7 separate regions of the Mus musculus genome follow, and regions 2, 3, 4, 5, 6 and 7 are each reported to be linked to region 1. Evidence: microRNA targets listed by miRTarBase, many of them from high-throughput screens and not tested one by one. Region 1 holds a microRNA gene; each other region holds the end of a gene's coding sequence.

Evidence for each region. Region 1 holds the annotated microRNA mmu-miR-19b-3p (UGUGCAAAUCCAUGCAAAACUGA, at 1,042-1,064, shown strand). A microRNA usually pairs through its seed, bases 2 to 8, with sites in the 3' UTR of a target mRNA and lowers its output. Matches are read on the target gene's strand: a 7mer-m8 pairs with bases 2 to 8, a 7mer-A1 pairs with bases 2 to 7 and ends in A, and an 8mer does both.
Region 2: the mRNA of Foxo3 is a reported target of mmu-miR-19b-3p. The part of its 3' UTR that is shown has no 7-base or 8-base seed match.
Region 3: the mRNA of Ldlrad4 is a reported target of mmu-miR-19b-3p. The part of its 3' UTR that is shown has no 7-base or 8-base seed match.
Region 4: the mRNA of Ralgps1 is a reported target of mmu-miR-19b-3p. Seed matches in the 3' UTR shown: 8mer at 2,365-2,372 and 7mer-A1 at 1,922-1,928.
Region 5: the mRNA of Paqr8 is a reported target of mmu-miR-19b-3p. The part of its 3' UTR that is shown has no 7-base or 8-base seed match.
Region 6: the mRNA of Gmpr is a reported target of mmu-miR-19b-3p. The part of its 3' UTR that is shown has no 7-base or 8-base seed match.
Region 7: miRTarBase lists Tub as a target of mmu-miR-19b-3p. Seed matches in the 3' UTR shown: 7mer-A1 at 1,257-1,263 and 8mer at 1,838-1,845.

The regions. Positions count from the first base shown.
Region 1 is chrX:52,738,989-52,743,054 of GRCm38, reverse strand. It overlaps Mir19b-2 (microRNA 19b-2), which reads left to right and starts at 989; the gene lies at 989-1,072. It overlaps Mir363 (microRNA 363), which reads left to right and starts at 1,288; the gene lies at 1,288-1,362. It overlaps Mir92-2 (microRNA 92-2), which reads left to right and starts at 1,127; the gene lies at 1,127-1,217. It overlaps Mir20b (microRNA 20b), which reads left to right and starts at 863; the gene lies at 863-942. It also overlaps Mir18b, Mir106a and Kis2.
Region 2 is chr10:42,193,007-42,197,072 of GRCm38, reverse strand. It overlaps Foxo3 (forkhead box O3), which reads left to right. Exons shown (of 4, transcript NM_001376967.1): 3 at 1-607. The coding sequence ends at 572. Among named protein-coding and RNA genes, the nearest start is that of Gm38485, 80 kb to the left of the region's middle.
Region 3 is chr18:68,253,957-68,258,022 of GRCm38, reverse strand. It overlaps Ldlrad4 (low density lipoprotein receptor class A domain containing 4), which reads right to left. Exons shown (of 6, transcript NM_172631.4): 6 at 2,474-4,014. The coding sequence ends at 3,484. Among named protein-coding and RNA genes, the nearest start is that of Mir7219, 5.0 kb to the left of the region's middle.
Region 4 is chr2:33,134,021-33,138,086 of GRCm38, forward strand. It overlaps Ralgps1 (Ral GEF with PH domain and SH3 binding motif 1), which reads right to left. Exons shown (of 20, transcript NM_175211.5): 20 at 1-3,689. The coding sequence ends at 3,660. Among named protein-coding and RNA genes, the nearest start is that of Garnl3, 5.4 kb to the left of the region's middle.
Region 5 is chr1:20,935,244-20,939,309 of GRCm38, reverse strand. It overlaps Paqr8 (progestin and adipoQ receptor family member VIII), which reads right to left. Exons shown (of 3, transcript NM_028829.4): 3 at 1-4,066. The coding sequence ends at 3,622. All of the region lies in intron 1 of Gm51618 (a long non-coding RNA gene), which reads left to right. Among named protein-coding and RNA genes, the nearest start is that of Efhc1, 14 kb to the left of the region's middle.
Region 6 is chr13:45,545,332-45,549,397 of GRCm38, forward strand. It overlaps Gmpr (guanosine monophosphate reductase), which reads left to right. Exons shown (of 9, transcript NM_025508.5): 9 at 542-1,055. The coding sequence ends at 722. Among named protein-coding and RNA genes, the nearest start is that of Gm34582, 22 kb to the left of the region's middle.
Region 7 is chr7:109,029,607-109,033,672 of GRCm38, forward strand. Tub (tubby bipartite transcription factor) reads left to right here. Exons shown (of 12, transcript NM_021885.4): 11 at 1-119; 12 at 518-4,066. The coding sequence ends at 651. Among named protein-coding and RNA genes, the nearest start is that of Tub, 21 kb to the left of the region's middle.

The DNA of each region.
Region 1 (4,066 bases):
ATGCTTCATGTAATCAAACATAGAGACCTTCCGAGTGGCTCCCCAAAGCTCTGGATGAGCTCAAGACGTCAGTACTCACCCTAATGTTATTTATTTATTTTTTTGCTTACATCTTTTCCTGGGCTCTTGCCTCTTAGAAAACCATGGTGGATATTACAGCTCTGCAAATTTTCTGGGATGCGAATCTCAAATTTCCTTAGACGGAGAGGGAGTCCAAAATCCTCTTACTCTTAAGAGTCAGACATTCTGAGATTGCCAGTGTTATTCATGTTTAAGTCTGTGTAAATAATTGAGCTTATTAATGTTTGAAGTAACACAACCCCATTTGCACTCTTAACGGAAGGCAAACTTGTTTTAGAAATAGTAACTCACAGTTCACTTACTTGCTGTGTGTGTGTGTGTGTGTTTATCCAGGTGAGTCTGCAGATCTGGCAAAGAAGAGTTCGTGGAAGACTTCAAGGTTACACTCCTGGAGTATGCCTTGGCCATGTCAAAGTGCTAACAGTGCAGGTAGCTTTTTGAGTTCTACTGCAGTGCCAGCACTTCTTACATTACCATGGTGATTTAATCAGAGGCCGCTGAGTCCCCTGGTTTCTGCATAGTTAGATTGTGGATGTTTTTGAGCTGCTCCTTGTAATGTGTCTCTTGTGTTAAGGTGCATCTAGTGCTGTTAGTGAAGCAGCTTACAATCTACTGCCCTAAATGCCCCTTCTCGCACAGGCTACTTCTTACCTTGCATTTGAAAAGCATATCTTGAGAAATGATTTGAACGGCACAAGTTTCAAAGGCTCTTTCAGTGTTTCGCCGAGAAACAGATGGCGGAGACTGTAGTATACAGTTGTGTAGAAGAACAAGCTCGGATCCTAGTAGTGCCAAAGTGCTCATAGTGCAGGTAGTTTTTATACCACTCTACTGCAGTGTGAGCACTTCTAGTACTCCTGGATCAACCAAGGTCTTGTTGAAGCAACTACAGCGCAAGGACATTGCTACTTACGATTAGTTTTGCAGATTTGCAGTTCAGCGTATATGTGAATATATGGCTGTGCAAATCCATGCAAAACTGATTGTGGGAATGTGTACCTTTCTGCATCGTAATGGACACCTTTATGCACATCTTCAGCATCCATGCCCATTCATCCACAGGTGGGGATTGGTGGCATTACTTGTGTTAGATATAAAGTATTGCACTTGTCCCGGCCTGAGGAAGAAAGAGGGTTTTTAATCGTCTTTTAGTTTCTGAGTATTGTAAGTTATGTTAGACTGTAATTATGAAATGAACTGTTTTGCTGTTATCAGGTGGAACACGATGCAATTTTGGTTGGTGTAATAGGAGGAAAATTGCACGGTATCCATCTGTAAACCGCAGGACCTATGTGGACAGCCGTCTATCAGTGCTATAGTAAGATTGTAAAATCCTTTAGCTAGTCATTGCTTTGAACACATTTGGAGTGGATTTTTTTTTTTTTTTTTTGGTTTTTCAAGACAGAGTTTCTCTGTATAGCCCTGGCTGTCCTGGAACTCACTCAGGGTGGCCTCGAACTCAGAAATCTGCCTGCCTCTGCCTCCCAAGTGCTGGGATCAAAGGCGTGCGCCACCACGCCCAGCTTGGAGTCTAATTTTTTAAAACTACATATTTTTAAATATATTTGAAATCCTGACATTTTGATTGCACTGAATGTAAACAAACCTGAAATTTGCAAAATAAAGCTGATATATAAGTCTGAAAAAAAATGGGTTTCTTTTTTCTTTTTTAAAAGATTCTATTTATTTATTTATTTATTTATTTATTATATGACAAGTACACTGTAGCTGTCTCCATAGACACCAGAAGGTGGCATCAGACCCCATTCCAGATGGTTGTGAGCCACCATGTGGTTGCTGGGATTTGAACTCAGTACCGCTGGAAGAGCAGTCAGTGCTCTTAACCACTGAGCCATCTCTCCAGCCTGGGGCTCTCTTTTTTTTCTCTCTTTTTTTTTATTAGGTATTTTCCTCGTTTACATTTCCAATGCTATCCCAAAAGTCCCCCATACCCACCCACCCCCACTCCCCTACCCACCCACTCCCCCTTTTTGGCCCTGGCGTTCCCCTGTACTGGGGCATATAAAGTTTGCAAGTCCAAAGGGCCTCTCTTTCCAGTGATGGCTGACTAGGCCATCTTTTGATACATATGCAGCTAGAGACAAGAGCTCCGGGGTACTGGTTAGTTCATATTGTTGTTCCACCTATAGGGTTGCAGATCCCTTTAGCTCCTTGGGTACTTTCTCTAGCTCCTCCATTGGGGACCCTGTGATCCATCCAATAGCTGACTGTGATCATCCACTTCTGTGTTTGCTAGGCCCCAGCATAGTCTCACAAGAGACAGCTATATCTGGGTCCTTTCAGGAAAATCTTGCTAGTGTATGCAATGGTGTCAGCGTTTGGAAGCTGATTATGGGATGGATCCCTGGATATGGCAATGGCTCTCTTTTTAAATTAGCAATACTATTGGCTTTTCTAAAATAGCGTCTTGGTATGTAGCTCTGGTTAGCTTGGAACTCAATTTGTAAACTAGGCTAGCCTTGAACTTGCGGAGATCTGTGTGTTTCTGCTTCTAGAATGCTGAGATTAAAGGTAGGCACCCCTCCACTCCTAGACTTCCAGCATTTACATACATTTATCTATCTATCTATCTATCTATCTATCTATCTATCTATCTATCTATCTATCTACTTATTTAGTGTGTGTGTCATGTGGTGATTTGAGAACAACTGTAGGGAGCTAGTCATGTGGGTCATGGACATACATCTTAGATTTCTTAGGCCCGATGGCAAGTGCCCTTCCCCCACTGAGCTGAAAACAAATTTTATAGGGTATGTCTTGAAGGAACATTTGAATATAACTGGAATTTAAGTTTGCGTTGAGTCTTTGGTTTTATCACTACTGAAAACCCTGCCAGTCCCATCTCCAGAGAGTGACTGTCATCAGGTGAGCCCTCAGGATTTGCCTTTGTAACCCAGTCTCAGGTGCTGATGGTGCTCGCCCAAAGAACTATAGGTTAAAAAAAAAAAAACGCCCGGTTCTATTTTAAGTTTCAAATTCATAAAGTTGAAAGGACTCAGGCACATTTTTTACCCCACTTTCTCATTCTGTTTCATGTGTTAATGTTAACACTGCCCTGTCTTTGGTAAGTGGAAAAACTAGGTAGGTATGTGTTGGTTTTACCTATCTGAACATTGAGTTCTCATCAGAAGGGAGAGGTATCACTATGTGTCATTCTTTGTGCCTTGGAATTTCCCAACTTTGAAAGCCTTTTATTACTTTTTGGGGACCTCATTACATAGGTTCAATTTAGTTAGAATTTTTTTACTGAATTATACTTCACCTTTGAGCTAGTTCCCTAAGCTTCCATTTCATTAGGGAAAATACAGTGATAACATTGGTCCTACACCAGTGAGGTGGGGCTTCTGTTCTCCTTGGGAGGTGAAGAGTGGTCAAGAACATGGATTTTAACTGCTGTGATGACATGAAATCTTAATGAAAAGAGATGGAGGCTAGTAAATTCTCTATTAAGTATGTAGGATTTTCTTAAGTCACTAATGTTTGAAGTAATTACAGAAACAAAATAATGAGATACTTCCTGTGCTATGACTTAGTATTTTATTGGTGCCTAATTGTAGTTAAGTTTGATGTGGTAGCAAAGACCTCCTTCCCTTCTAATAAAGTAGATTTAAAAAGTGGGGATTAAAGCTTATTTGTTATAATCTTTAGTACTACTAGGGGTCTGCTTTAATACAAGTGTATTGCCATTGGTAGTCCACTGGTACTTAAGGTGGCACGTATCCAGAAGGTAACTGTAGTTACTAGTTTTACTAGGCATGTCTCGAGGGGCTAGGGTAGATCACTGCCTCCTAAGAGTCCCAAGACCTTTGTCTGAAATTAAAATGATGGCTGATCTTGATCATAGGGCCTTTGCAAGTCTTGAAAATTAAATTCATTATTTTATTTTTGGAAACAGGTGGTTCCACCCCCCCCCCCATAGCCTTGGCTGTCCTGCAACTCACTCTAAATCAGGCTGGCCTTGGAT
Region 2 (4,066 bases), not on the chromosome of region 1:
TCATGATGACCCAGTCGGACCCCTTGATGTCTCAGGCTAGCACCGCCGTGTCCGCCCAGAATGCCCGCCGGAACGTGATGCTTCGCAACGATCCAATGATGTCCTTTGCTGCCCAGCCTACCCAGGGGAGTTTGGTCAATCAGAACTTGCTCCACCACCAGCACCAAACCCAGGGCGCTCTTGGTGGCAGCCGTGCCTTGTCAAATTCTGTCAGCAACATGGGCTTGAGTGACTCCAGCAGCCTTGGCTCAGCCAAACACCAGCAGCAGTCTCCCGCCAGCCAGTCTATGCAAACCCTCTCGGACTCTCTCTCAGGCTCCTCACTGTATTCAGCTAGTGCAAACCTTCCCGTCATGGGCCACGATAAGTTCCCCAGTGACTTGGACCTGGACATGTTCAATGGGAGCTTGGAATGTGACATGGAGTCCATCATCCGTAGTGAACTCATGGATGCTGACGGGTTGGATTTTAACTTTGACTCCCTCATCTCCACACAGAACGTTGTTGGTTTGAATGTGGGGAACTTCACTGGTGCTAAGCAGGCCTCATCTCAAAGCTGGGTACCAGGCTGAAGGATCACTGAGGAAAGGGGAAATGGGCAAAGCAGGTTAGTGCGCCACAATGCAATGGGAAAGCATCGCCGGTGGGCGGGGCGGGGGGGGGGCGGGGGAATGGGGGGGGTGACTCCTATCCTGACAGCGCATGCAGCAGTCAGGACTCCCAGCCGGTTCATCAGAGTTTTACCTGTAAACAAGACAGGGCTCACAGCTGTCAGTAATAAAAAGAACACCCAAATATTCAAAAAGCTCACTCTTTATGTCCTCTGTTGTCACTATGAGGCAGGTTCTCCTACCCTCTGTGTGTGGGTGGATAAGAGAAGGAAAGGGGAGGAAGGTCAAAGGTCACAGGGAAACACACCAGCCCGAGGAGTTTCTTAAAAAGGCTCACATCTAGCGCTGGTTTAATCTCTTGTGTGATGGTTCTTCACCCCCTAGGAAAGTAGTGTTTTGCGCTAGGAAAGTGTTAATGGCATGTTCTTAGATCACTACCTCGTTGATAGCAGAGACCCTTTGCAGAAAGGACACGAGAGATTGTGGGAAGAGTTTAGAACCAGCTGGTGCTGTGATGTCAAAAGCAATGGACTTGGGCAGTTGGGACACACCTATAGTCCCAGCACTTGCAGGTGGCGAGGCTACATAGTGAGGCCCTGAAGGTCCAGTCAGCTCCTGAGTGTCTGTCTGTCTGTCTGTCTCTCTTTCTCTCTCTCTGTTTATACAGTGGGATTAGTGGTCCTACCAGTCCATAGAGCTACTGTAAGAGTCAGATGCACAGAAGAGTGTGAAAGAGTTTTGTAAAACTTCACCAGGTCGGACGTACCAAGGGCAGTTGAGTGAGTGTACTGACTGACAGATGAGCAAGCCGGGAACCACAGAGGTTAAATACTTTGCCCAGGTCACACAGTTTGTCCCAGAGACTACACGTCTTAAGTGGCTTGATTCCTATTTTCTGTAAATGGTTTTTTAAAAGGCACTGTGGACTGAGCCAGCCTGAACTCTTCTCCTGCCTTGGGGAGGGGAGGCTGGCTGTTTATGCCAGCTGGTTTGTCTCAGTGTGGCTTCACATACCCGGGGTTGAAAGGCTCTGCACCCTCAGCTCCCATTTTCTTCTGTTTTTAATTTCAATCTCAGCAAGCTGCTTACCTCCTCCTTCAAGCTGCACAAAAGAGAAAAGGAACCCAGAGCCCTAAGCCCCACCCAGCCTTGTTAGCCCTCCTCCCTGGTGCAGGCATCATAAGGGTCTGCTAGAGCAAGCGAGCGCCTGAGCTCACTGAAGCCCTCCTGGTAGCTGTCCAGGGGAGTGTCAGAGCATCCCTGGGCTAAGCATCTCAATGTTCCCAGGCCCAAGAGGGCTCCTGGTGGACGCCCAGACCTCGCTGTAGTCCTTAGTAGCTTGGAGCCAGGAGAAGACCATAGTGAAAGCTGAGTAGCATGACCTTGCCAGCCGGTTACTCCCGGACCTGTTGGGTCATGGCGATTGACTTTAGAGATGTAGGTACATTCTGAGGTTTATCTCCAGTGAGGAAGACTGTGGTTGTGGTTTCTGACATGAGAATGTTGAATTTGTCATTGTAAGTAGAGACCACTTCCCTGTTCACCAAACCTGCGAAAATGTCCTATCAGCTTTTGTCTGTTTCAGTTGGATGTTCCTGGTTAAACAGCATGCTGTGTGTGTGTGTGTGTGTGTGTGTGTGTGTGTGTGTTGGTGTTGTGTTTATCAAAGTTATATGGAAATCTATTAAGGGAGATTTAAATATATAATAGCCTTCAATTTTATTAGTGCTAAACTTAGCACTAATAAACTTAGCTTGTTTCCACTTTATTAAAGGCAGACTCTCAGCCTCACCTTCCCTGACGAGTGTCCCCAGCCCCAGAGCCCCATCCTTCTGGTTTGCCGCTGCCTTGGTATTTCTCCAGACTGGTTTGCAGTGTGCTGACCCAAGGTCATGTGGCCCCATTGAGGCTAAAAGGAGCAGCCCTGGCCAGGTGACATTTTACTGAAGAACCTCTGTGACAGGCTCTGGAGATCTGGGAGTCTGATGTGTAGCTGTGTGTTGGTAGCGTCACGTCCTGGGTGGGTAGCGCCCCATCCTTCACCCATGCTTGTGGACTTTTCCATGTACAGGAGCGGGAGACGGGACTTGGTGGCTGTAGTCTGGGCTTTCAGTGAGCCCTCTTAAGCTTGACAAGACCCATGCCGGATGACTTAGCATGCCTTAGCATGCTGGAATTTCTTGGTCATCCCTGCCTACAATCTCACTGTTACACATTTTCCACTTGTTTTTACTATGAGCATAAAAATAAGGTCCTGCTACTTCAGGAGCTCCAAAGGTCAAAGGTCAGGCTGAACTCAGATGCCAGCTTCTTGTTAACTATCCAGCAAGACCTCTCCTTTAGTTCGTGCCTGTCTTCAAGGGCCAGTTTCTCAGATGAGCACCCACCTCAGCACATTGTCTCTGGGCTCTACTCTGAGGGGACCTGCAGGTGAAAACACCTCTGCAGCTCACCCAGAGTTGCACAGGGTCCCTGTGGCGGAAAAACTGAGCTTCGCAGATGGGTCTGTGGGATGGTGTCCTGCTATTTGTCTCTGAGTCTCTCCAGGCTTACTTACACAGAGGGACAAACGTTTACACCTCCCCTGCAGAGCCCCCCTTTTGTAAGAACGTGTGGGGCACGATGTTTTCTCCCATGATCCCGTAATCTCATGGCAGACCACAGTCAGCCTTACACTGTTTGCAGAAGGCAGCTGCTTTCCTTGACAACCAACTCTAGTTTAGGTTTCTTTTCATGCCTTCTGGGGCTTTGCACTCAAAGTCCTGCTTGCCATTTGGGGAGTACACATTAGAGAGGCTGTCAAAGAGAGATTCTGCCGCATGGGCTGGTAAGGTTTGGAGCCTTACCAAAGTGTTCCTTTAGCATCTCTGAAGCTGGGCAGTGGTGGCACACGCCTTTATTTAATCCCAGCACTTGGGAGGCAGAGGCAGGCGAATTTCTGAGTTCACTACAAAGTGAGTTCCAGGACAGCCAGGACTATAACAGAGAAACTCTGTTTCAAAAAACCAAAAGAAAAAAGAAAGAAAGCATCTCTGAAGGGGGCTGCGGTCGGGCTTCACTGTGGGAGAAGCCTTGCCTCCCATTGTTTCGGAAGCCAGAGCCAACCTGAGCTATTCCACTGTTGTAGGAAAGAAACCTGGCTCTTCCGTCCTGACAGGCACCCACGGTCTGACCTCTAAGGGCTGGTGGTCGCTTGTTTTGCATAACACGAAGACAGGAAATCCAGTCACCATGCTGTGGCTCTGGCAAGCCTCAGTTGGGTGAACATCTGAAAGGTCAGGCTGTCTTCGAGGTGTTGCCCCAGTGCTAAGCACTGCTCTGTAGACTGAGGAACTGCTGGGCTACAAGAGTCTGGTCTGCTTTTATCTCCTCCCCTCCCAGCAAGAGACATGACCCTCACTCTAACCCCAGATCTTCTGTTTGTTTAGTGACCTCTTAAGCCTATGGTGTTCATT
Region 3 (4,066 bases), not on the chromosome of region 1:
TGGCCTGGGGCATCTTAGGGACCTGCCTCAGGCATCTCTAAAAGGAACAGCTGGATAAGAGATGTAAAACCTGTATGTGTGGGGAAGGCCGGCATATGAATGGATTCTCAGATCAACAGCTTTCTGAAAGCACTTCCTTTTGGTCCTGATAAAGATCAATTGGAGCTACTTAGAATTTTAAAAATACTATACATGTATATATGTATGTATATACATATATATGTGTGTATATACATATGTGTGTGTGTGTGTGTGTGAGTGTGTAGCCACCCAAGTCCCATGTACGCGTGAAGAGGCATCCATCCCAGTTTATCCTCATCCTTGCCTCTTGAGTTTGAGCTAAACATTACTAAGAAAAAGTGCAAGTCTCACATTCTGCCTGTAAGCTTTAGTTACTGCCACCCTGTGGGATTAGGTGTGTGTCTACGGTGGCGAAGACATGGGGCCTGCTTTACCAGTAAACATAAATGGGTGAGCCGCTGGCTTCCTAGTCTCCTCTATTAAATATTGCTTCTGTGTTTATAGAACTTCGGAAGAAGCAAATGCAGGCCAAAAGGCTGATCTCCAGGAGATGAATTTGCAGGCCGTGTGTTTTATCATCCTGGAAATCTGTGAGACAACAGATAAATGGCCTGCCCGGGACTGTTCCTTCTAATACTGTAAACCTTTACTCAAGAGCCCCATGGGATTCATCTGTCAGTATAGCCTACTGTCAGTTGCCTAAATTCGCTGCTCTCCAAACTGAATACTAGACTTCTAAGCACTCGGCTTCCCCCTGTATGAGCTGTGTCTTCACAGTAGCTGCTTAGTCAACGCCTTAGAGCCAGGAGACAGCATAGCATGGGCAGTCAGCTAGAAAGCTACAACCTAAGCCGCCTCCCTGTGCTGAGAGAAACGGACTAATTTTTATGACCTTTGCTTTGGCTTTTATACTAATTCCTTAAAGAGGCCCAGCCTCAAAATCACTAGTTGTGTGTGTGTGTGTGTGTGTGTGTGTAAAAACATTAAGAAAGCAACTTCTCTTTTGAAACGTAGTTAAATATAGTTGAATTAATTGTTTTGCCTATACTATTGGCATCTACAAAATGCCCTTGTGCTTGCCAAGTTCCAAAGTTATTTATGAGTCTCTGATCTCAGTTCATTCTCACAGCCGGTAGAAAAGGAAGGAAAGATGAAAGGAAGGACTGAGAAGCCGTTTGGAGCTGAAACTAAAAGCTGGGATCTCCAGCTTCGCCAAAAAACTAGTTAGGATTTGGAATGACAAAACCATAACCTCACCACCCCCTGGCAGTCATCCAATGCCAAGTCTGACCAGTAAGATCCCAGTGAGGACATAGACCTCTCCTCTGCCACTGTATCTCGGGGTACCATTCAAGCACAGCCTGAGAGCATAAGGTCACCAGGAGCCAGAACCTTCTCAGGAGGCCTCAGAGAAGTGGGAAAGGTCACCTTTGGCCTGCTTCACCTGTGGCCTAAAAGGCCACTGAATGTCACCAGACAAGACAGAAGAGCAGTTCCTGAGTCCCAAATGGCATCCTTGCAAGCAGTGTTTAAGACAAGCTGACGACTGCGGCCTGTCTGTTCTCTCTCCTTGTAGCTGTGAGTATTCCTGTGGACGCTACGGTGCAAAATGGATGAATTCAAAGGAGATTTCAAAACTCAAACTAAGCCAGTGGCCTGCCTACTAAGACAAGCAGAAATGAGAAGCCTGGGGTCAGAGAGGACTCCGGCTTTGAACAATTTAGTTCTCAGGTAAGAATACAGAGTTACTTCATGTAATCACTTCTAAAAACAGTCACACACCACAGAGACAGACAGACAGACACACACACACAGAGAGACAGAGACAGAGACAGAGAGAGACAGAGATCGATTTGGTGTTAAAGCTGCCACCGAATTTCTATTCCGGTTCATTGTGTTGCATGCAGAGGCCAGACTTCCAGAAAGCTGGAGCCTGCCTCCGTGCAGTTTAGGAAGCCAGCTCTTACATCTGCATAATAAAGTTGTTGTTGTTTATTCTACATAAAAAATGTTCGAAATCATAAACTGACTTCAAATACTAAGAAGCCATTTTCCAGCTGCAACTTTGCCTGCCACTGCCTTGTCCTGAGTCACACCCTGACCCACCACCTCTATCCTCTCACTGACCATGGTACGAAGACTGGCTATGCAGAAGTCTTTGGCATGAGCGCTGGCAGGTCTGTGCCGGATTCCCCTAACATGCAACACTGGAGAGATGCAGTGGCTTATTATGCCAAACTCGTTCCTCTCATCACGTCCAGGGGCCTATTAAACATAAAGAACCATTACCAGCACGGCACTTAGAAAGCCAAGTGGCCTTGGGGACAACTGCTGGTGCCAGGTGCTAAACAGACTACCCTCGCAGAACTCAACAGAGCTGCCTCGGAAAGTGGAGAAGTGCAATGGGACTCGCTGCGACCCATAGTTCGGCAGTACACAAAATAGCCAGCTTGCATTTTAGACGATTTATTGCATAAAATAGGGTATGTATCTGAATATATTTCATGCTACTGTGGAAAAAAAGTCTGAACTGCTGACCCTGCTGGGAAAAAGACTAGCTGTGCGTGACACTCCGTACACAGTGTAAGCATCTCTTTTCACCAACCTCTCCAAATACCTCAGTAGTACACGGCTTCTGGCTGCAAATTCTTGCAACATAACCACTTTTAAAAATGTACATTAACTTGGTAAACACCAGGGTACATTGCCAAATACCTTTCTTGTATGACTCTGTGGACACTCAAGAGTGTTTCCTTGGGCATGGTAGCCATCCATAGGTGACAAGACAACATATAGAACTTCACACGACACGGTTCCCTCATCCATATGTTAAACATTGAGATAGTGCAACTCTTAAAACATACCATCACAACACAAATCACTTCCTCTCACTCGTCTAACTTCTCCAACTTTAAAACCTTGGCACACCAAACAGGAGTTTTGACTCATATTTTTAAAACAAAATAAGTTTCACACCTTTGGAGAAAAAGCAAACTGGCTGATTCTTCCCCATGATAATATATAATAATTCTTCCCTCTTTATTCAGTTAATTATAAAACAGGCCACTGTGGCCTCATTTATCCGCAGTCTCCTTTTGGAATCAAATATGTCAAAAATACCTCTGTGGGTCTTACTTTCATGATGTCTTCAAAGCAGCCTTTTTTAGTTTTCTCTGCACACCACTTAGCCAAGATCATACCATCTCTAGCCCTTGTCTCCATCCACCCCCTGCCCCAAGGTGAACACTGTCTGTGGTCAAACTGGATGGAAGTTTGAATCGTGTTTCCATCTTGTTTGCATGCAATTCCCGTGAAAGGAAGCAGAAACGAAGACCGTGTTTGCACATTTGGTTTTACTTGGCTGTACCAGTAAAGCTGGACAACACTGTGGCAGTGGGGCCAGCGGGCCTCTCTCTCCCTGCCGCGGTTTCTCTCTCCTTGAAAAGTGCACTCTAGAGGGAATCAGACCAGGTCCCCCGGCTTCCTGTCTTTGCCCTTGATGGGTACTATTGTGCCCTCTGAGTTGTTCGGCTGAAACTGTGGTCTGCTGCCCCTGTGTGTGTTGCTGTGCTGGTGATGGAAGAACGAGGTGCCTGGGTAGTGGCCCATCACCTCGCTGTAGGTCGGGGGTGGCCCCTCCATTCTTCCGTTACTGCTACAGGTAGCTGCGCTGATGCCCGAGTGGCTGCTTGGTGGGCATGGTCCCCCGTTGTACATAGAAATGTCTATCAAGTCACTGTCAAAAACGGTTCGATTGGGCGGGGCCCTCACGGACTCTCGGTTGAGTTCCATCTGCTGCTCTGGGTCCCGGAGCTGTAGCGTGCAGGGTCCTTGGTAAGGAGGCGGCTCCTCCCCGTCTGACAGGGAGATGGTGGGAGGCAAGTCAATCTCGTGCTGCACATAGGGGTAGGTGGGCTGGAAACGACTGAATGGATCCCTCTGGATGAAAGATGGGGTAGTAAACCTATCCCTGCCCCGTGGGGCACACATGATCTGGAAGGAGAAAGGAAAAGGTCTGAGGAGATTCTCAGTACAACTGTGACTG
Region 4 (4,066 bases), not on the chromosome of region 1:
TCCTCGGCTCCCAGGGACACGCAGCTCCCACTCATACTGTATATGAATTAACACTGAAGTTACAGAGTAAACGGGGTGGGGGGCTGTGCGTACGGCAAGCACTCAGACCCTACTCTCTCATCCTGCCTTTGGCGTCTTCCCTGGAACCATTCTTGAACACAGATCAGAATCTGGCTGCTTAGAGCCAGCCAGCCTCCCATGTCGGGACTCCAGCAAGTCCTCAATGCAACTTACTCTCCCAACATTTCCATTCAATCTGGTCTTCCTGGAAGAACCAATGCACACGATTGTATTCAGGAGTAGGGGAGAGATAGGGTCTTGCCAAAGTTGGCTTGTGAGGTGGTAATTATTTGGTCATTGACTGGTTAAGTTCTACAAAGGCCAAAATTGGATTTGTCTTGTTTCTAGCCTTTTTCAGTCTGGGTAGAGCCTGGGGTATAAGAAGTATTCACTTGACATATGAATGTTTATGCAATAAATACACTTTCAAAAGGGCTTTGTGCAGGGTGGGTTTTTTGTTTGTTTTATAACATGAAATCACCCAACATATCAATATGACACAGGGACAGTTTAAGGGTCACACAGAAGAGAAGCTGTGCTTTTGGCAATATTCAATAGAGGTTGCAAAGCTCTGGATGCCACGTGCAGATTAAAGCAGCCTTGGCTTATAAATGGCTTCCCAGTTTTACAGATCATTTTCCATCTGAAAATTGATATTAAAAAATAAACAAAACAAACAAAAAACCACCACACCTTTCTTAGGCTCGAGAGGCAAGAGTAAACTGATGGAAGAAACACTGGCCATCTTGGTAAGGAGGAGAAATACAGAGAGCCTGTTGGCGAGCCACGGATGTGTCTACCTGCTCAGCATCAAGTGCCCCAAGGCATTCAGCCAGGGCAGGGGAAGGCCGGACTCTCCTGCTGGCTTGTGTAGGAGTGTTTCCCACCAAGTCCAGCATCCACAAGGTATCTTGCTTGCCAGCGGACACTTGGCTGACCTTGTATTGCAAAACTTGTACACTGGAAAGGGGACAGAGGTTTACTCTTATTGTGAGTGAGAAGGCTTTTCTTGGGACTTCCTAATTCTACCAGCTGCCCATCCCAGTTTCTAAACAGCATTCTACAGCTCTCAGTTTGGGGTGCCATGGTCTGTCTCCAACAGTTTCACAGTATTTGTGTACGATGGACAGTGGAGCAAAAGTGCAGAACAGCTTCCTTCAAGGCTAAGAGTCCACCAAAGGACCACTGACTCTGTCATGTGACCTGGCCACCTCCCCTTGCAGCCTTGTGTGACAAGCTGTGCCGAGGATATCAGCACTGAGCTTGTATGCTTGGCCTAAGGCCCTGCTTGGAGAGACAAATATCTTTTAACTCCATAGACAGGGCTTTCCCACTACCTTCAAGGCTCACAAAAGTCCTACAAGGCTTTTCACTAATAAAGTTCAAGCAGTTGTCTTCAAGAGTTCATGGTAAGGATGCTTGTGGGAGGGGAGTTTGGCTTCATTTAGGAAGATTAAACACTTTGAAAATAATTGTGATTGTGCTCTTTCAGATTAGGCCTGGAAGAAAACACTGTGTCTCATAAGACAAATCTGTAAAGGGCAGGAAGTTATTTGAGTGGGATGAAGTTCTGGGGTTTTGATGTCTTGACACTGCACATGCAAGAATCCAAACAATGAGCCCAAAAGCAGACACCTAAAGGAAACTAGCAGCTGATGGTCTGGCTTTCTAGGAGTTAACAGGCAGGCAGGCAGGCAGGTTTGGAGTTGGAATAGATTAAAGTGGACCACGAATGGTTCTGCTTGGAGGTGCCTCAAGTGTCTGACACCGTCATCCATCTTCTGGATTCTAACTGGAGCAACGTTGATAGAATCCAGTGCATACAGCTAGTGCACACAGCTGGACCACTGGTGGGGGTGGATGTGCAAGGCAGCTGTGGTCAAGGTTTGATGGCATCAACTTTACCATGTGGAGTTTCTCTTGGCATGAAAATATCCAGGCTCTGCCCACAGGAAGGCTAGCTTCAGAGTACAACAAACGTACGGCCATGACAACAACTAATCACCCCATCAAGTCATCCATGTTTTAGAGACATGTCACCATTTGTTTGTAATACAGTGCTTTCTGGTGGTAAGTTCATGGTTATGGTGTTGTCTGCAGCTTCTCCATTATTGTTGGGATGGTTTCATGATTGGGTTACTGTGTAAAACCATGATACCCACAGGGACCCAGACATTCAGCCTTTTCCAGAAAACTGAGGGTTTTCTTCTCAGGGTTAGGGTACCCAGATTCAAGGAGGAAGAGGAAGAGGAAGAAGGACAGAGAGCATCAGTGATGACAAAGGGCAATACACTTGAATTAAAATGTGCAAAGTAAAAATCACCTTATTTATGACAACAGGTGACAGATAGGTCCTTGTTCATGAATGCAGAGGCTGGACATCTCACTCCCTAGGGTTTGGCTCTCTTCTCACCTGGTCATCAAGAACTGGGCCCTTGGACTTGGATGAGAACTTGCTGGTGACTGCATTTAGGGGCAAGACTGAGGGGGCTTAGGCCCCCTTGTCACTCAGCTCCCTGTGTGATCAGGAATCAGTGTGGCCGGCCCTGGCAGTGGTGGCAAGGGTGAGGAAAGGAGCGTAATTCTGCCCCGTGGGAGAATGCGGGGTGGCACAGCTTCTGACCACCGGTCACTGTGGGGGCCTCCACGCTGCTGGGAGAAAAGGTCCCAGCTTCCCACACCAGCATAGCAGGAGTGGGCGAGATAAGGAGGGCCCATAGGACCACCAGGAAAGCTCGTGGTGGGGAGCAAGCAGGCCAGTGCCCAGTACACGGTCCTGAAATGGATTCTGCCTCAGGCGGGCTGACAACAAGACCCAGGAGGGCCTGGGGCCCAGGGAACAGGCCATCCAGATGAATAGCACCCATAGGAACAGAAAACAAGACACGATTTAAGGCATTGTTTGTTTACAGTAAAAGAACTCAAGGGACCCTTAACACGGAGCTTCTGGACTCCCTTCAGACTTTTCTTAGAGGACAAGGCTGTAACTAAAGCTTCAAGCAGGGACTCAAAGCCAATAAGTGTGTGATGTCACAAGTCTTGTGCCAAAATGTATGTTTCTCAGAGCGTTCACACTCACTCGCTCACACACACACACCGCGCGCACACACACACAGGATGCTTTAAGGGTATACAAAATCGGAGGCGGCCCTGTGGGTGAGTGGCCGGTGCACTTGGGGTGTAACAAGCCTGTCCAGCAGCCCGTCTCTGCTTTCCAGCCCTCTCGAAGATTAACGCCATCCACTCTGTGTGCAGCAGAAAGCATGGAGAACCCAACATGGGTCAAATGCTCCCCTGATGCAAAAGCAGCTGGTGGACAGACGATGGCCCAGAGAGGGGGCATAGGGTGCGCAGTTTGGGGTCTGACAGCCACCCGGTGGGGTGCTGCTGCAGAATGATTCATGAGAGTTGCTGTGGGTTGACAGGTGGATCTCACACTGGGGAGCCATCCAGGACTGTGAGGCCATGGCCATATTCCTCGAGTCCAGCGATGAGGCTCCAGTGCCTTGGCCCACAGCTTATGCCCAGAGCTGCTCTCCTCCACAGACCTAGTCTAGGCTCTCAGAAGCCTTTGCAGTCTCGCCAAGTCCTGCAGATACTCATTCAAAGGACATAAGGTTTGCAGGTACCTAGAAGAGAAAGCTCACCCTTCTGTCAAAGTTTCAATCCACAGAAAGGGATAGGGGACAGTTCCTACAGTTAGGGACATGCAAGTATGGGGAGGGAAGAGCACGGCAATGACTGCTGCCACTGGGGAGTAGCTACCATGTGCCAGGCATTACGCTGACTACTTCATATGCACAGTTTCTGGAGTCCTCACTTGACCTCTATCAGGTGGACGCTGGAAGGGTCGCCATAATGAAGATGAGGAGACTGAGACTTGTACAGGCCACACAGAGAGTTAGAGCCAGGGCTGAGACATTTGCCACCACTATCCCCTGAGCCAAGGCAACTAACTGGGTTTATGGTATGAAGGATAGGCTCTGCTGAACTAGGGTGAATGTCT
Region 5 (4,066 bases), not on the chromosome of region 1:
ACCAAGCAAAACACAGATCTAGCCATGAAGCCTTGGCAACAAGCTCTGAGTGTACTGAGAGTGACAACATCACCCTCTGGAGGATGCAGGTGGAACTACAGAATAGTAACCAAACAAATGGAGGGCGACCGAAACAGGGCTAAACTACCCTCCTGTCAGGGCTCTGAATTCTATTTCAAGCTTCCAGTCTATGGCTTACACTATTGTTATTGAGAGACTTAAGAGCTGAAATTGTAACCCTGACATCTTTAAGAACTTTAAAATTAGTTTTATTAGAATTGGATATGGTGTTGGTGCAGCCTGGAATCCCAGCTCCTTGGCCGACTGCGACAGGAGAATCCATCTGGAGTTCCAGGCCAGCCTGGGATACACAGTGAGGTCCATCTCGAACAAAACAAACACCTTGAACAAGAAACAACAAAAACAGCCTTCACCGTCAAACAAAAGTCAGGATTCTGAAATGAGAAACAAGCCCCCCATGTCCAGTGTATCCTCTTCTTGAACTAAGTGGGGCCTTATATCAACCCACAAGAATCTTATTCATGAGAAAGTATAGATGACTGATGGTTTAATCTTATCAGAGGCGTTTACATATTAATGGGTTGAAAGTCTTAACTAAGAGAGGCAACAACCAAAATTTCTAGTTTTGGAGAGCAAGATAAACTATCTCCCTTATACCTTTTTAAACATTATGCTGATTTTGCAGGGTGACAAACTCCATTGTAAAATCAAGAGGCATGCATACTCCTCTTTACAATTTTTGGTTGTTACTTTTAAACTAGCCTAGTCTTTACCATCCTGATAGGCCCATTTTAATGACACTGTTTGAGGACTCTGAAGAGTTAAAAATCACCCATTTGTGTATGCATTTGTAAAGGCATTTGCATTATTCCAATTAGATACTGGTGTTTTCCCCCCACCTCAGTGCCCTCCCCAAATATCTATTATAAATACACGGTTGCTTGGCCTGGGGTGCACATCAATGGGAGAACTCTTTGTTAACATGTTGCAGGTCTTAGGTTCAAGTCCCAACTCCATAGAAATCACTTTCTTTTTCTTTTTCATCAGTTCCCAAGTCCATAGTTAGCAATAGTTGTATAATTAAACTAGGAACTGAACGCCAGTATCTCACGTTTCTCACGGGCGTCACGGGTGTCACGGGTGTCACGGGTGTCACAGACTTGTGAGGAACAGAGTTCAGCTCGACCCTAGGCTGCAGGACCATTGAATACCACAGATCCCTGTCCACAAGACTCAGAATGCCACACCTTTAGCCCTGCCATGTGGGAGGCAGAGACAGCTTGATTTCTATAGAGTTCTAGAGGTCAAGGTTTGCATGGTCTACATAAGGATTTCCAGGACAGCCTGGGTTATACAGTGAGATCTGATCTCAGGAAAAAGGAAAAAAAAAAATCTTTGTTCACAGATACCACCAGAAGACCGCCTTCCTCATCCCTTTCCTCTCTCACGTTTCCCACCAACTTTTAAAAGAATACAGTCTTTGAATCCACAACAGCAGAACTTCTAACACTTTCTGGTTCCCATTTTAAACAGACCCTCTACTTGGAGCGTTTACACATACACACCCTAAGAAGTCTTTGCTCAGTCCAAACCCGTTCAGTTTTGCTAACATTCCTTGGCATGAACTTGACCTAGACAATCAGAACCTTGGGTCATTTGGCTAGCATAGGCGTTCATCTTCTTGACCATGAATGAACAAGAACCCCATCTAATAAAACAGTGCAGGAGACACATGCTCTCTTGATTTAAAAGCAGCAGGGATACTGCTGCTGACCCCTCTCACATACAGATTAATAGTTGATTGACAGGTCACTCTAGCTTTTGGGGGTTCCTTTTTTTTTCTTGTCCCAAGAACACAAAACAGAAAAATTCCATGTGTGCATATATTAAAATAAAAGAGTTTAGACATTCCCATGTATAAGGCACAAAATTCACAAGTCACTCGCACAAAAAATATATATATAGAAAACAAAGGTTTTAAGACTAGCAAGAGGAGGTTCATTAACTGGAGTTGGAAACTTTAGCTTCCTTTTTTAGTACACAGGGACCTTATAATGATAGGAAGTGCAGCCTGCGAGTAGAGGGCACCTCAGCCCTTCCTCAAACACAGCCTCCTCCACTGGGTTCATGCAGAAGACAGTCCTCGGGGAGAGCTGTGTGGCCAGAACATCTCAGCTGCAAGCACCACTCCCCTCACATCAGGGGCTGGCAGCCATATCACGGACAGTGCCTTCGGCCATCAGGTGCCTCGTTCTTACTCAAGGGACCTTCAGGGGCCAACGACGGTGAGCACACATTCACCCCTCCTAGGACCCATTTTAAGGTTTCTTCTCAAGTCGGAGGTGGAACTGCCTCATGAGGACTCTGAACTGGGGTAGCTGCGTTGGTCCTTCACGGGGCAGCATCTAACAGCAGCTTGAACCTTGGATCTTAGGATCCGCTTGACATAGTCTGCTTTCTCGGAGAACTTTAGAACCATGCTTGTAAAGGAGTCTCTTCAAACCTTCAGACAACCAATCTCCTGACCTGCAAGACAACCCTAAGTGGCTGGCAGTTAATACTGCTGTCCTCAGATATAAACTACAAGGGTCCCATGGGCAGCAGGCAGGCAAGGGTAGCCGTGCTTGCTGGCTGGGTCTCTTGGCAGCTCTTGGCACTGTTAAATCTGTCGATACCTCTGTATTACGCGGGAATCAGCTTCCTGAATGTTCATATGGCTCCAAGCATTTCCTGGAAGGGTAATAGCTTCGGGATTCTTTGTTACCATGCAGACTAGGGATGAGAACAGTAGTACTTCAGGCAAATTGGCCAGCTTAGTTGGTTATCCTGAGAGAAGAACCAGTGGTCGAGACCAGGAATGATAAATTGAATAGTCCATTTTGTCTAAGAGTTTCAAGGAAACTTCTTGAAGATTCTGTTTTTTTCCACCCAAAGCAATCTGAAATCCTGATAAGACAGAGTTCGTTGGTCAGTTTACACAGACACCAAGCCCAGCAGCGCGGAGGGTGGCTGTTCTGTTAGGGCAAGGTTATACTTGGCAGTCCAGTTTAAATATCTGTCTAGTTTCAGGACTACTCTTTGGAAGCTACAACCAGAATTCTGCTCATTGCTCATGGGTGAAGATGGCTCTCCTTAGTTTGGGGTCTCATGAATCTTAGCCAAGATCTCTTCCCAAACAAGGCTATCACCCAGACAGAAAAATGAACGCACTGTTTTAAAACTCTCAAATGGCCTGCATTTGAAATTCCATAGTCATACCATGCCTTTGAAAATACATAATAATTTTGTTTGAGATATGGTATCTATCATGTATCAAAGGCTAGCCTTGAACTCACTATATGTCAGAGGGTGACCTAGAATTTCTGATCTTCCTGCCTGTGCCTCCCCCTGGCTTCTGTGGCCCTGGGAAATCAAACCCTGGGCTTTCTGCATGCTGTATAAGCACTCTCTACCAATGTGAGTTTCATCCTCAGCCCGTAATACATATTAATTTAGAAAAAAAATCAAGCCTGAAAAATAAAAAGTCAACTTCTATTATTGGGTCAAGTTTTCTCCAAGTCACAGTAGCCCACCTCCACACCTTTCCTCATTTGAAGGACCTCAGGAATCTTTCTTAATCAGTCTGTCCTTGACCTTGTGCCTCAGGAGGGTGGCGGTGGCCGCACTGCAGGCAGCTAAAACGAAAAAGGAGAGACAGGCGCTGTACACAGACAGGGGACCGTGGCGCTGGAGGAAGATCTCATGGCGTCCCTGGTAGTCCAGAAGAATGGCCTCCAGCTGGGAGAGCGTGCAGACGGACAGGAAGGCGTGGAAGATTTGATGTCCGTGGCCCACAATGTCACAGGAACCGGGGAAGTACTTCTCGGGGACAGGGCACGAGAAGAAGTATGCGCTGACGAGGAAGAAGAGGATCTGAAGGGTGTGGTACCAGGCCGCCTGCTCCTGGCAACCGGCCAGGTGGCAGAGAGCCACGCGGTGTGCCACCGGGCTGATGTCTAGGACGAAGGCCAGCCCTGCTGGTACTACTTGACAGATCTTCCTCATA
Region 6 (4,066 bases), not on the chromosome of region 1:
CGTGAACAGGGAAGTTCTTATAGGGTTGGAGGGATACCTCATCTTTCAGGGTCTCAGTAGGGATGTTAGAGTGGGTGAAACACTACCCTGTGGGTTTAACATTGCTGACACATTCCCACACTCACCAAAGCCTTTGTTAGCTGGATAAGACTTGGCACTGGATGGGGAAGGGCCTTGCAGCACCCCGCCCCTCTCCAAGGAGTTACGGGCAATTCATGGTTGCCAGGGGGAGTCGTTTTCTTCAATGGTGTGACCAGTGGTGAGGTGCCCCGTGCTCAAGGACATAACCCTACTGAGTGAATCAGCTCAATGGATCACAATGAAACAAACCAAAAGGGTGGGAGAACTGGGGGTGGGAGGGGCTTATGAGGAAAGAGCAGGAGTGATTTTATAGGTGGTGATGGGGAACGTAAAATGTCCCAAACACTCCATTTGCATGTTGTCAAAGGAATAAAGGCTATACAGCAGGGAGAATTCTACCTTAGTTATTAAGGGGAAAAATAAGATTATTCCTCCTTACCCCTCTCCTTTCCCTCCTCAGGGCCTCCGAGGGCAAGACCGTGGAAGTGCCTTACAAAGGGGACGTGGAGAACACCATTCTGGATATCCTTGGAGGACTGCGCTCCACCTGTACCTACGTCGGGGCTGCCAAGCTCAAAGAGCTCAGCAGGAGAGCCACGTTCATCCGGGTGACCCAACAGCACAACACGGTGTTTGGTTAACCTCGGGGATGCAGACCTCAGTGTTGAGCCGAGTGGAAGCCTCCTTTCACCATGCTTCGCCCCTCCCCTCCTTATCTGCCTTGGCAGGCTGGCTGCTATCACAGATGCTGAGACTGAGTCCTTGTCCTGATCTTGTAGCCCGAGACCTTGGGGCTTGCCCTAGTGCCTGTGTGGGGCCCAGGAGCAGGGCGCTCGTGGGGCCCCGGGTCAGCTCCTAGAACTCATCGCCTCCTGGTGTCAACCAGCCCTTGCACCCTCCTTTCTGTCCGCCGTTAGTTTTCTTTCTAAAGGACAATGGTTTCACTTTTAATATAATGCTATGATCTTGACTGAGTGCTGGAGTTTGCGTGTTCAGGACCACAGTCCTATAGAGCCTCATAAGCATTGGGAAAGCCTGCCCAGTCAGGTAAGTGAACTTCAGTGGTTAACACACAAGGCCCTTGGTTGGGGAGGGAGTGTGGTGTGGGGCTGAGCAAGAGCCTACAAAGCTCACAACCCACCTACTGCTACCTGCAGCTTTTTGTTGCTGGGAAGCAAAAAAAAAAAAAAAAAAAAATGCAATGAGCAGGGTCGCAGGCTCTCAGGTTGCAGGGTCAATGGACATGAATTGTCCAACCCTGTTAGCTTATCTCCCAGCCTGTTCAGAGCTGCTAGCAAGCTCGACCTGTCCTGGGATTTTGTGTAGTATGTCAGATACGCAGTTGATCTCCAACTTGTCAGGCTGGCTGGCCCTCTCTCTTTTTTAAAGTCAGGATCTAGCTGGTAGCCCAGGCTGACTTCGAACTTGCAATCCTCCTGCTGCAGCTCAGCCAGGCTGGCCCCTCTCCAGGTGTTTACAAACCATCTTGAAGCCTCACAGATGTTTTATGAAAAAGCCATGAAGAAGCCTTGCTGAAAACCAAGTGCTCTGAGGCCTAAAGGGGCTTAGATTGTGAGTCACGGAAAGTCCCTTGTATGAATACTTCCTGGGAAGTAGCTATGTAGGAAGGTGGCCATTATTGGCTGGTAAGAGAGACTCTGTCTTGGAGGAAGGCCCTACTTAGCCCAGGGAGCTGCCCTGCAGTGTCAAAGCATTAGTGTTTCTGAGAATCGGGTGGTTTTTCCTAACAAGGTTTATCAGCAGGCACAAGAGTGTGCCTTTTCTTTGAAAAAGCAAATACGACATTCCAGGGAGAAGAATGGTATTGCTGAGTGAGGATCAATTAATTGTCTGGTGCCTACCATATCTGATGATGTAGCTACACCATTACATGGGGGCGGGGGTGCCCAACCCATTACCAGTCAGGTACTATACGACTGTACTTAACGTTTGAGAAGAGGGCACTCTGACCCCTCCTCCAGCCTTCCTCCCAGAGCCCCCAAGCATTGCTCTTAGACCTGTAGAAATATGAGTGGCATACTTGGGAAGGTTGCGTGCTGGATGTATTCATGACTTTTCCCATCACAATAACCAAATTCCCCTGAAAGGAGCAACTTAAGGGAGCAAGGGTTTTTTCCAGTGAAAGTTCAAGTGACACTGTCCATTACAGTAGGGAGTGGCCGGCATCTGTGACTGGGAACACAAGGCTGCTTGCTTACATCTCTGCAAACTATCAAAATCCTGTTCCATTTGGTTTCCTGCCTCCGTTACCCTCACCCTCTATCTAGTCCAGGTCCCCAGCCCGTGGGGTGGGGCTACTCAGCTAATCGTCTCCAGAAACACCCTAACAGGCACACCTATAATTGTATCTCCTTTGTGATTCTAAACCTTTGTCTGCTTGGCAGGATGAATCATCACACATGTCGTTGCAAGAAAAGGGGTATTCAAGGCAAACAGGATATGGCACTTGTGTAGAGGACCCCCACACTCTGTCTGCCCTATCTGTGTCTAGTGTCAGCCTCCCTTGATATACCTTATGGAGGATGTGTTTCATATTTAAGTCAGTTTAATGAGCCTAGAATAAGTAAGAAGGAAAGGAAGTCCTAAGTCCTTTCAGGTGGACTGGCATCGGCAGGTCTCTTCAGACCTGTGCGTTTCCCCCAGATTCTCAATATGATACCTCAACAGCTCAATATAACATTATAGGCCTGGTCCCTGTGTTAAATTAACATTGCAGCATGCATCACTGTGGGGACATGGCCCCAAAGGTTCCACATAGCACATGCTCTACATGGGTGCTGCTTCAGGATGGTCTTGGCCTGGGCTTCGGTTTCCCTCTCCCTGCAATAACAAATGCCACTTTGCTCTGTAAGGATCCTTGCAGACTGGTGGTTTTATGTAGCCAAAGGCAGGCCCCTTGCTATCTAGTTCTAAGCAAATGAAGGCCACACGTGCTCTTGCAAAACCCCAGGCACCAGGATTATCTTGAAACAGAGGCTTCCTAAAAAGAACACACATTCCCTTGGCTGGAGCAAGTCAGTGATCAGAATGAGCCTAGAGGATCTACTGTGAGAGCATCCTTCAGTCCAGGCAAACAACACGGACAAAGAAGGCTTGTTGCCCATGCACGGAACTTCCTGTGATGGAATGGGAGCAATGGTGGCAGAAGTGGCTATGGTTATGAGAGGCTGCCTGCTCACATCTCTGCAGACAGGGAAGCAGAGACATAAATGTCCCCATTTCCCTATTAGGTCATAGGTACAGGAGGGAATTCTCTTTGGAAGGCAAGCACAACCCTGGAACAGGGGAGCATGAATCTTGGTCTTGGACTGGAGCAATGCTTCTTAGAGTTTCAAGGCATGTCTCAGAGTATCACAGTAAGCTATGTATTTTTCCTAATCAGCCTTTTGAATTATCCTAGCCGTAGGATAACTGTTAGCTATAAACAGTCTGCTATTAGTATCTAATCACGTGGGCAGGCAGAAGGCTTGCCCATTGCATACCAGGAACAGCCCTTCTAGTCTGGTTCAATGAGGCTTCCTGGCATGCTACTTATTTTCCAGCATGCTTAAAATACAATGTGTAGAACCCCAGACCCTCGTTTCAGGAGTCACATGCTACTACATAGTCTAGGCTGCCTGATTTGTTACTATGTAACCTAGGCTGCCTGATTTGTTACTACGTAACCTAGGCTGCCTGATTTGTTGGGATGAGTCCTAATTGGATAGCTCAAAAATACAAGAAAGAAGAAAATAGAAGCAAAGGGTTCCCATTCTTCCTTGGCCAAGTGAGAACTCTCAACTATTTCTGGCATCTTCTCCCCGGTGTGAGCTCCAATTTCAATTAGAAGAACGACATCGGCACGTGTGGATTGGAGCAGGGCATACCTGGGGATTTGCTGCTGCAGGAGTAATGATTTTCCTAAACCACCACCAAGCCACACCTTCCCAAAGCTGAGCCCAACACCAGCCTGTGCACAGTACTT
Region 7 (4,066 bases), not on the chromosome of region 1:
TGAGCTGCAGAACAAGACGCCAGTCTGGAATGATGACACACAGTCCTATGTACTTAACTTCCACGGCCGTGTCACACAGGCTTCTGTGAAGAACTTCCAGATCATCCACGGCAATGACCGTGAGTGTTGCCACTCCCTGTTTTTGATGTTGTACGCATGGTGCCCAGCCCCCACCCCACCCCCAATCCCCTGATCTGGTCCATATCAGCCAGTGATGGGATGTGGGTATATGGCTTTTGTTAGAACTTTCTAACTGTAGTGATCTAGAGTCCTGCCCCTAGTGCCCTGCATGTCTGGGGCTTGGGAATACCCTTTAAATGGATGTCTTTTCTCTCCTGGGCCCTGCTGTCTGTGTGCATCTCCCCCCTTCACCCTCTTGCTTCATAATGTTTCTCTTGAACCTTTGTTTTGTTCATCCTTTCGATCTCTTTGGCATTTCTGCTTTCTCCTTCCCTCTTGTGGCCCATGTCTTACCTGGTCTCCCTGTCTCCACCATTCTTGCTTGTGCATGCCACAGCGGACTACATCGTCATGCAGTTTGGCCGGGTAGCAGAAGATGTGTTCACCATGGATTACAACTACCCACTGTGTGCACTGCAGGCCTTTGCCATTGCTCTGTCCAGCTTTGACAGCAAGCTGGCCTGCGAGTAGAGGCCCCCCACTGCCTTTAGGTGGCCCAGTCCGGAGTGGAGCTTGCCTGCCTGCCAAGACAGCCCTGCCTACCCTCTGTTCATAGGCCCTCTATGGGCTTTCTGGCCTTACCAACCAGAGACTGGCTGCTCTGCCTCTGCTGCTGAAGCAGGGGGGACAGCAAATGGGTATGACAGGAGAAGAATATTTCTGTGCCCCAAGGTCAACACACATGCCCAGTCCTGGGTCAGTCCCCTGCTGCAGTGGTGTTATCACACCGGAAAGCCTCTTCACCTGGAGGTACAGAGGGAGAGGAAGCACAAGCCTGGCTGCTGTGGCTCAGCCATCCACTCAGCCTACGAGTCAGAGACAGTGGGTGTCCCGGGAAGCAGGGGTACAGTGAGTGTGTGTGTATGTACAGGGCACTCAAGCTGTATGTAGAAAAAGCTCTGGTGGTCAGCAGAAAGCACTCCCACTTCAAAAGGGCCCATTAGGCCCAAAGGGGGTTAGGAGTGGTAGGGATAGGTGCGTGGCAGGTCCCTGCTAGGATTGCAGGGGCCTGGCCATGTGTATTAGCTGGAGGCTTAGAATGCTAGCTCATTTGTTGCTACAGATTTGCCCAGTGCTTGCACACGTAAGAACCCAGCTCTCAAGGCCAAATATCTGAGTGGATGGGGATGATAGGAGTCATCCAGTAGACTCCCTACATCAGGGCTCTCAGCAGCCCCAGCACAACACCTATGACACACACACAGGATCTAGGTCACCATTCAAGTAATGGTATGCTTCAGGAAGAATGTCCTCTCTGGGAAGACTCAGCTCCCATTATTGCCAGCATGCCATGATCAGTGAGGGCTGTGTGCCATGCTTAGGGGGATGGCGCAGGGTGAGGGGAGCAGAGGATATTTTAGGGCCACAAGAGCTCAGAGGTAGCGGACCTCTGTGTGGTTCACCAACAGCAATGCTGATCCCTGAGTATAGGGCACATGTCTCTTGGTTACCTCACTGGTTAATGGCAGAGTTGAGAACCTCAAATTCTTTTGTTCCTACTGTTGCCCAGAAACTAGACTCTCTGACCTGCTAGGGTCTATTCTGCATGTCCTTTCTCTTCCCAGTTCCAGAGATGAAACCCCTCCGAGTTAATGTATAAGGTTGGAAACCTTTCAGTAGGGAATCAGGCAGTTCCCTGTTGAAAGTTGTCTGAGTTTTTGCACACCATTCTGATCTGATGTGGCCTGTGCCTGGCTCCTCTATGAGGACTTCGAGCTGTGCACAGACCTTAGCAGGACCACTGCACACTTTGTGTCTGTGTGACAGGCAGCCCAAGGGTTCTGGGGCTGGGCTTGGACACGCCCTCCATTGGGATGGCACCACTCATCTGGTGGGCTTGGGAACTCCAAGCTCTTGCCTGTGTGCCATCTGTGAGAAGCTTCTTGGAGCTGAGACACCAGAGGGAAGCAAAGAGCATTTAGACATTGCTTTTTGCTTTGAAATAGATATGTTTGGAAACGCTAAGTAGAAGTTTAAAAAGTAGAGTCATGTAGAGTCATGCTTTGAATATGTGGGTCATGCTTTAGATATGAAGAGGCTATGCAGGTAAGGAGGCTGGATTGATGTAAATGGAAGTAGTACTTTAAGAAAGCTCTAGATTTCCCAGGTTGGACACTCGACGAAAGGCACACCTGCTGCAGCAGGTTCTGACACACCTGAGCCATACATTGCCATCAGAGAACCCTCAGCGAGGTAGCCTTTGTTTACAGTCTAGTTTCTAGAGGGCAGTAGGACTTCCATGCTGGGGCTGGCCTATCTCCTGATGAAAGATTACAGTGCCATCTCCTTCCCATAGTTCTGTGTCTGCCCTCCCTCCCTGACTTTATAGGGAGAAATCTCCTGACATTAGAGGTGATAGAAACCAGAGCTTTAGTCTAGTCAGGCTGTTTCTCTGGGTTGACAAGTTTAAGGTTGAACAGGCTGATTTCTGGAATCTCATGAGTGGAGGGGACCCTGGTGGTTAAGAGCGGAACTGGAAGCACAATGGAAAACTCTTGGACTCTGCTCTCTGCTTTACCACACACAAAAAAGAGGGTTCTTGGCTATTTGAATATAAAGTTGGTAGCACCAGGAAATAGGCTGAACTTTGTAGCCCACTGTGGAAAGGAGCAGCCTCAGCACAAACCCCTCTGTCGGGCCCTGAGTGACAAGACCAGCCTCACAAGGTCAGATTTTAAGACTCAGCTCCTGGTGATAATGCCTTTTCTTGACCACTGGCGCTGTGAACACAGGCTAATGGACTTCAGATACCAGGGCCCCGGGATCACCTGGGTTAGCCTCTCCCACAGGAAGATCCCTTACCCCTCATCCCCTCTTCTTTTTGGTCCTTGGCTGGGTAGCAAATTGGTGAGAAGAGCAGCCTAGTCTGTAAGAGTGCAGGGCAGCTGGAACCTTAGGCAGCTCCTCTGTATGCTACCGGCTCCACACCCTAACACTCTCCACCCTCTGCTCCAAACCAGTTCTTCTGCAGAGTGGTGATGTTAGCTTCCCCAGCTCCTCTCCAAGTCTAGCTTTTTCTGTCCTTCTGGCTCCAAGGTGCTCTGTGTCTGTGTGTGTGTGTCTGTCTGTGTGTGTGTGTGTCGAGGAAAGGGCAATCTGCAAACAATGAACAGAAGTTTAAGATCACATCAGAGTAGGGAAAGACAACGGAGGCAGTGGTGACCACTGTGGACTGTGGATGGTGCCCCTTCATTCCATGCTCTTTCTCCCATGGTTCTGAGCAGGCGACTGTCAAGGAAGTGTGTTGTCAGTTCACTGGAGGAGGAGCTGAGATGTGCACCCTTTTAAATGAACATGGGGTGGTGATGGTGCCTTAACAATCTTGACACTAAGGTGAAGCAAGCAAGTAAGGTGTGTGCCTCTGGGAAGACAGGAGTCGGAAGCCAAGGTGTGTGGCAACAGTCTGGAAGAGAGCTTTTGGTAATCATACCGTCTTCAGTGACAAGGCAACAATGCTGTAAAGTGGGTTTGTTTGGTTTTGTTTTTTCTTTCTCTTTTATGGAAATGGCAGGTCTATTTGCCTCAAACGTTATGTAGAAGTAGTTCTAAGTTTAACAAGCAATAGAGATGACTGCTTAGCTAGGATCTGCAGGGAGCTCTGCTCTGCAAGCACAACACCTGTCTCATAGATGGACAGCCTGGTTTCCCTTCTCAGCAGTCCTGGCCTCCCCTTCTCTGTATTCCTTGCCCCAGCTACGATATCCTCATGGGATTTCAGGATGCCAGGTGCCATCAAAGCATGCTTTTTTGTGGTGCCTAGCACTGTGACTGGGGCCCAACTGCCCTGCAGAGTTGGGACCTTGCACTGCCCTAGACCCTGGCTTTAGATCTGCTTCAGTCTCCAGAACAGGCTATGGGATAGATTTTTCTTTCAGTTTATGGCCAC